Oryctolagus cuniculus: one gene and its partner. The protein of the gene in region 1 purifies or fractionates together with the protein of each later gene. This does not show direct contact. Links are inferred from orthologs where the notes say so. Each region holds a gene or a part of one and is shown in the gene's direction. Other genes may lie near its edges. The genes, in order: NDEL1 and DYNC1I1.

What was found.
Region 2: the proteins of NDEL1 (region 1) and DYNC1I1 purify together in Homo sapiens (affinity purification with western blotting; 3 studies listed by BioGRID and IntAct, with this or other methods). This does not show direct contact. The link is inferred for Oryctolagus cuniculus from reciprocal best matches to the Homo sapiens genes NDEL1 and DYNC1I1.

What each region holds. Positions count from the first base shown.
Region 1 is NC_091448.1:52,861,526-52,865,440, forward strand, and holds the start of NDEL1 (nuclear distribution protein nudE-like 1), read left to right. Parts: upstream 1-1,415; 5' UTR 1,416-1,613; intron 1,614-3,915. UniProt on the Homo sapiens protein: Required for organization of the cellular microtubule array and microtubule anchoring at the centrosome. May regulate microtubule organization at least in part by targeting the microtubule severing protein KATNA1 to the centrosome.
Region 2 is NC_091447.1:40,174,823-40,178,637, reverse strand, and holds part of DYNC1I1 (cytoplasmic dynein 1 intermediate chain 1), read left to right. Parts: intron 1-3,053; coding exon 3,054-3,198; intron 3,199-3,815. UniProt on the Homo sapiens protein: Acts as one of several non-catalytic accessory components of the cytoplasmic dynein 1 complex that are thought to be involved in linking dynein to cargos and to adapter proteins that regulate dynein function.

The sequences.
Region 1 (3,915 bases):
GGCCAGCAGGGGCCCCTCCGAGGGTTACAGCTGGTGGGAGGCGAAGGCGGGAACAGCCCTCCAGGAGATCCAGGGCTTTCAGCACACACACACCCCCACCATCTTTCCGGGCTCTGGGGAAGATGGGAGGAGTTAAGAGGAGCCGAGGGTCATCCTGCCCCCGTCTCTGTGTGGGGCTTTGCCTGGGAGACCTCCACCCTCTGTCTTGGATCCCTCAGCCCAGGTGCCCGAGGTTTCCCACATTCTTTACCCAGGTGTTGTTTCTACAACATCGCTAAGGTTCACAAACACCTGTGGGATGACTTCCGGTGCTTTGCGGGGTGTTCCTGGGGATCCAGCAACAGACCCCCGGCAGCTCCTACCTTCCCTGGGTGACCCTAGGTAAGATCCCCACCTTGGGAAAGGCGTTCTCAGTGAAGGACCTCAAAAGCAGTTCTTCTCCTACCCCCTTTTTCCTCAAAGATTTATTTATTTGAAAGTCAGAGTTGAGAGAGAGAAAGAGGAGACAGACAGAGACAGAGAGAATCTCCCATCTGCTGTTCACTTCCCAAATGGTTGCATCCAGGCTGAAGCCAGGAGCTCTGTCAAGTCTCCCATGTGGGTGGCAGGGACCCAAGCACTTGGACCATCCTCTGCTGCTGTCCCAGGTGCATTAGCAGGGAGCTGGGTGGGAAATAGAGCAGCCTGGACTTGAACCAACACCCATACGGGATGCTGGTGCCTCAGGAAGTGCCACGGCGCCAGCCCCTTGACAGGCATTTGTTGAGTAACTATTATTAGCCTGTTCCTTTCACATTTGCTTGCAGTCACAGTTCTTACAGCTGGTGCTGCTTGTGGAGCGTGAGACTGACACGTGAGGGCTACGACCATTGTGGAGGCTACAGGTGGCTGGGGGTGGGGGTGGGGGAGCAGGTGCTCTTCAGACCAGGTGCTCTAAGACTTAGGGAGGGCGTCAGGTTTGGAAAAGGGGCAGAAAGAGGACAACCCCTGACAACTAAGGGGACTAATTTGCCTCCTATGAAGCCGGTTACTCATGCTGTCTCACAAAGCGCTGAACGACGCCCTGAGGTCAGTCCTGGAATTATCTCCGTTTTATAGATGGGGAAAATGAGATGCAGAGAGGCAAAGCCACTCGCTTCTGTTCTCTCAGCTACGAGGTAGGTCGGGGCTCTGTCTGACTTACAGGCCGTTTCTCTGATGCTCGGGGCTGCACTGGTTCTGTGCCGGGGCCACCACAGAGATAGAAACACCATTGCCCTGCCCTCATCGCCTTCTCTTACAGAAAGTGGGGGAGAGCCCGGGCATTTGCTTGGGAGACCAGGGGCTCCCCTGCCTGCCGTGGAAGGCCTGGCTCAGGAACCAGGACCCGTATTTCTTGCAGCACCACAGTCTTGCTCAACCCCCCACTGAGCAATGGGCCTGGCGGGGTTGCCTCACTTGGAGACAGCAGGCCCCAGCCTTCCTGGCTCTCGCCCACTTCCTGTCCTGCGTCTCTGTTGTGGGTCGGTGATTCTCACTCTTCCTGTTGACTTCTCCTTTGTTTCAGCCGGTGCAGCGCAAGCCTTGCGGCTGCTGCGGATGTGAGCGGCCAAGGCTCCGGGACCCAGGACAAGGTAGCTTGGGATGGTGGGGAGTGGGAGGTGGGGGCTGATTGGACAAGGTCTGGGTCAGGAGAACACTGGCTCGGGAGACATCGGAGGAGGGGACCTGGTGTCTGAGGACCCCCTCTGCCTTCGGGATGTGGGTGGTTGGGGGGGTTGTTGGAGGCCAAGGTCAGTCTGTGAAGTTGTTTGTGTCCCTGTGGACAACAGGGGTTTGCTTTGGTGTCTTTCTGATCCTCCTAGGCTTCTGATCACCTTGACTTGTTTTTTGTGGCGTTGTGGAGGGAGCTCCTTGGGCTGGGATGGGTGATGGGGAGCTGGCAGGGCCACTGTTGGTGTGCTGCACGGTGATCTCACAGTGCTGGCTCACAGAGGGGCTTGCGACTGAGCCTTGGCTCCGTGGCTGGCTGGCTTGGTGGCTTGTGGACCAGATACTTCCTTCTGAACCTGGGCTGTCATCAGCAAAGTGGAACACACCTGGTTTCACTGGGTTTTTGTGGTGCTGAAGCAGGAAAATGTGAGGGGGTTTTGTAAACTGTAAGAATATATTCTTCAGGGCTCACAGTAACTTTTATTTCATTTTCTAAATGGAAGTATATATATAGATATATTTTTTCCCTGATAGTTGATAAAAATGGGAACAATACAGTACAGAGAACTGGGGAATATCTGTACCCCAAAAATGAAGACTTTGGGATACAGACTTTTAGCCTTACATGAGGAATTATTTTTTAAAGATTTATTTGAGCCGGCGCCGTGGCTCAATAGGCTAATCCTCCACCTTGCGGCGCCGGCACACCGGGTTCGAGTCCCGGTTGGGGCGCCGGATTCTGTCCCGGTTGCCCCTCTTCCAGGCCAGCTCTCTGCTATGGCCAGGGAGTGCAGTGGAGGATGGCCCAGGTGCTTGGGCCCTGCACCCCATGGGAGACCAGGAAAAGCACCTGGCTCCTGGCTCCTGCCAGGATCAGCGCGGTGCGCCGGCTGCAGCGGCGGCCATTGGAGGGTGAACCAACGGCAAAAAGGAAGACCTTTCTCTCTCTGTCTCTCTCTCTGTCCACTCTGCCTGTCAAAAAAAAAAAAAAAAAAAATTTATTTATTTATTTGAAAGGCAGAGTTACAGAGAGGCAGAGGCAGAGAGAGAGAGAGTTCTTCCATCCACTGGTTTGCTCCCCAAATGGCCACAATGGCCAGAGCTGAGCCAATCCAAAGCCAGGAGCCAGGAGCTTCTTCCAGATCTCCATGTGGGTACTGGGACCCAAGGACTTGGGCCATCTTCTACTGCTTTCCCAGACCATAGCAGAGAGCTGGATCGAAGTGGAGCAGCTGGGTTTTGAACTGGCACCCATATGGGATGCTGGCACTGCAGGCAGCGGCTTTATCTGTTATGCCACAGCGCTGGCCCCATTGATACGCTTTTGACTCATTTGTTCAGACTCCCTTAAGAAAAGCCCTATCGGTTCATTTATTTTAAATCCAACGTCTACCTCTGTGAAAGCAACACAGAGCTTGCAATGAAAAACAGCATCTCCACGTCCCACCCCTCCACTTCCAGGCTCTCCCTACCAGAGGCAAATATTTTGAAATTTTTAGTTGCTTTTCTTTCCAAATAGAGTGCCTATGTGGCTATTTCTTTATTTTTCTGTGTTAATCATGATCTATTGGTTTCTTATTGTAAAAGGCAAGGGTATAAAACTCTCACCCTGCCCACATTACTGTCCCCCCATCCTCCTGATATGGCATAACACCAATTTGGTTAAGTCAGTATTTGTGCTTATGTTATATGTGTTTGTTACGCTGTGACTGTATTAAGTTTTCTCGGTGCTATATAAATTATGATGATGACGTTCCCTTTCTTTTGTCTATTTGTTTCCCTGGAGCTGATAGTTGCCTTAGTTTTTATGACACATGTCACTGACTCCTCTCCAAAAGAGCTATTAAATTCCTGTCAATTTGATCTGACACATCAGATAATCTCTCAGCTTCTGTCTTTTTTCTCTTGGAGACATCTCCGTGGGAGCCTCGTCCCATCACGCCAGTCTGGACTAGCTGCCCCCAGTCCTACTGCATACTATTGTCCTGGGACACCCTAAACATCATCTTAGGAATCAGTTCTCACTCTCTTGCACGAATCCTCTCTCTTTCAGGTCCTACTTTAAAACTGATTACTTACTCCCTCTCTCTCTCTCTCTCTGTGTATGAGAGAGAGAGAGAGAGAGAGAGATTGATTTCCCATCTGCTGGTTCGCTCCCTAAAATGCCTGCATTGGAGAAAACTGGAAGCTGGGCGCTCCATCCAGGTCTCCCACATGGGTGGC
Region 2 (3,815 bases), on another chromosome or scaffold:
TTGTACATTTTTCTAAATGCTTCCACAAAACCATTGAGCACATTTAGTTAATCATTCATCTTCCATTTTTCCTCTCACTATCCTCAGTCCCTCTTTGATTCCATGGCCAGTGACTGGTACGTAGTAAGTGATGATCTAAAAATACATACGGAGGATACAGGCACAGTATTGGAATACTATAGACAGGGCTGTTGGGATCCTTTCCTCCCACTCGGGAAAGCTAGAACAGTGTGAGAGACACAAACCACCATGCAGCTTCCAAACAGTAAGAACTCTGTCTTGATTGAGAGATGAGCAAATGGCCCAGGAAAAAGGGGCAGTAAAGTGGAATCCAATAGTTTGGACTAGATTGTAAAAGCAGATGCAAGACTGAACAGCTGGCCTCCCCTTTGGAAAAGTTCAGTGTGTTCATAGTGGGGATTGATTTCTCTTTCACTTTAGTAGTTCTTGTTCAATTGATTTTTTTTTTCATCTCTTGGGCTCATCCCAGCTGATTTAGACTCGATGAGGAACCGCAGGTCCCACGTTCACATCCGTGTTTTTTGTGATTTGCAGAAGCCTTTGTGGTTCCGCTACATGATTGTTTCCATCGTGGCAATACAAGCTGCGAGGTTCCTGCTGTAATGCATGAGGAAACAAGTGGTACTACCTGCTCACGTGGTCATGATCAGATGACTTGGGAAGATAGGCCTCACCGTTCCATGCCTGGCCTCAGTACTTTATAAAGGCTGGCTAAAACCACACATTAGTGTTTTATCAACACACAGAAAGACCTGATATGTTTCATTCATGCAAACATCTGCTCCCCTCTTACAAAAGACATTACTAGATGATGTGAAGCAAAGATCACTTAAACCTGGTTCCTGTCCTCAAGAAACTGATGACAGTGGGACAGATAAACACACACATATTTAACACAAGTGGTGTTAAATACTTGTTAGTGGCACAAAAGGTGCGGAGAAGGCGGTGGGCCAAACATGGAGTCGCGGCTCTAGCTACACATGGGTTAGAATCAGTAGGGCAGGGCCGGGTTGTGATGCAGTGGCTAAGCTGCCACTTGCAATGCTGGCTTCCCACATCCGACTGCTGGTTTGAGTCGAGGCTTTGCCCTGCCTCTGATCCAGCTTCCTGCTAATGCACCTGGAAAAGTAGAAAATGTTGGCCAAAGTCCTTGGGCTCCTGCCACCTGTGTGGGAGACCATGGAGAAGCTCCTGGCCAGCCCTGGTTCTTTGAGTCATTTGGGAAGTAAACCAGCAAGTGAACGATCTTTCTCCCCATGCACCCCCCTGACCATTACTCTGCCTTTCAAATCATTTTAAAAATGTAATAACTCTTAAAGAATCACTAGAGCCTAGTTTCTATTGACTTACTCTGGGATATTGCTCAGATCCTCAACTCTCTGTGAAGTTGCAACACACTCACTGATACTTTTCAGATATTTTACTTAGGCATCACGTGAAATATTCACATTAGCAAATTTTTGTTTCATGACTCTGTCCTTTTGAAGCACAATCAGAATAGGCACTAGGGCTCAAAAGAAAGATCCCCGTGGCATGCAGCACAGCTCCCTTTACAGCTAGCTTGGTTGTGCTTTCTACGTTGGTCTACTCATCTAAAATGTAAAATACAGATGTTGGCAAAGCCACAGAGTAGCAGACATTAGCTTTGTCGACATTTTAAATGGGTCAGATAGGGCTACAGGGAGAGGGGGGCATTTCTGTCTTTGACCTAATGTTGAGAAGGTGCAAATCCACTTCCATAAATTAAACAAGGTCCACATTTTGCACCCTATAAACCTTTTCAGGATGCTGTTAAGAGCAAGTGGAGTCTCACCAGGGGCCACTTCAAAGATCCACTCCTTGTGTTCATTAGAACAAATTTAAATGATGACGTGTAGAGCTGCTGTTGGCAGTTTCATTGGGCACAATTTTTGAGTGTCTGTTACGTGGAACACAGGCTGTAGCACTTTGCTCATGATTCTAAATTTTACTTAGCACATTGACATTTATTGGTGCTCAACATGTTTTAATAATTTAAGTGGTCTAAATGTTTTAACAACTGAATTCATTTTTACTTGTGGAGGCATAATATTGAGATTCTACAATCCCTTCATCTTTGTTATGTTTATAACTTGGACATGAATCTTTAAAACATGGTATTTTGGTATGCTCTCAAATTTTCCAAATTGTATGTGCTTGTATGCAGACATATATGTGATAATAGAAGTCTGGAAATAATCCCAGCTTTGTTAAAAATTGGAAATAGGTAACTTTAAAAATGTGTGTTGCTATTTCTCAAATACCCTTCTAAAAGGGGAAGGCATAGCTCACCCCTTGTCATGCCATTTCATTCAACAAATTTTTCTTGAGCGTTCGTTGTGTAGACACTTGGCAACAAGAAAGGCACCTGCCCTTATGGATTTATCAGTGAGTTTGCAAATCTCTCTTCAGTTCTCAGTGAAGAGAATATATCATTTTCTCCATATTTTATGACATCAGATTATGTATATTAGTTGAACATGACAAAAGTTTCCTCAAAGTGTTGCCTTTTTGAGATCTGTCTACTGAAGGAATTTCCTTGAAAGAACAAATTATTTCTCCAAGAATGTGTGGAGTTTTAGAGCAGATGGGATCACCAAAAGCAGTTAAAATGGAACATGATGAAAAATGCCATCTCAAGAATATGATAGTCTTCTTAGGTAACAGCCTCCGAGGTCTAAGTGTATTTGTTTCTATCCAAATAGCTGCATTGGTAGTGATAGGATTTGAGGAACTCCTGGGAAATTATTAGATGATAAAAGTAAATATTAAATGCTGAAAGTTAAAAAGATTATATTTCCCCCTGTGGTTTTTCTTAATCACCAAAAATAATGTATCATACTTGCAGACAACTTCCTTGTCTAAAGATCACCGTGGGAGGGGTGGTGGTGGTGGTGGTGTATGGCTGCTGATCTAAATGATGATGAAGTCATGCTCAGAAAGGAAGTTGCTTCTCTAAGGCAACCATGACTTTGCCAAGGTGGCTGAAATTCTCCTATGTGTTTTTTGTGCAGCAAGGCAGGCATTGGTGAGGTCTTTGAAGGTCACCAAGGGCCAGTGACGGGAATTAACTGCCACATGGCAGTGGGACCAATCGATTTCTCTCACCTGTTTGTTACATCGTCATTTGACTGGACTGTCAAGCTGTGGACCACAAAGGTAAGAATACTCGAGTGAAATTCCTGGGTAAAATACCGGGGAGAGGGTGGTGTCTCAGGCCCTGAGTGAGTTGTAGGCATCAGCTCTTCTGCGTGACCTGATGTTGGGAATCCTACAATCCCAATCCGGTGGTGAGCCCAGACTGCCCCAGCAGTAGTCAAGACTTTCTCAGTCTGTTTCTTATTTTTGATTACATGGGTTATGTTTGGCAATATTCTGATTATAAAAAAAAAATCAAAGTTGAATCTGAAATTCTCCTTCACCTACAGGAACCCACCCTCAACCTCCCCTTCCTTGTCTCTGTCTCAGTGCTTTCCCACTCATCAACCCCGTGTCAACCTTCTGGGTCTTTGTAGTACTTACTCATTGACCTATGTACCTATCAAAACATAAGATGTGCAACTTGGGTTGTTTGGATTTTGTGTTGTGTTTTGCAAGGCGGGGAGGGTGGTGGGTTGGTTTTTGGAGCCTTTGAAGTTTTCATGTCTGATAAAGGCCCCTGCATTATGTGTGTTGTGAAAGGTAATCCTTGCTGTGTTTGAGAGCAAGAAGCAAAGGGCATCTGGGAGGACGGGGCAGTGGTCCAGGGGAGAGATGAGAGTGACACAGGCCTGTAG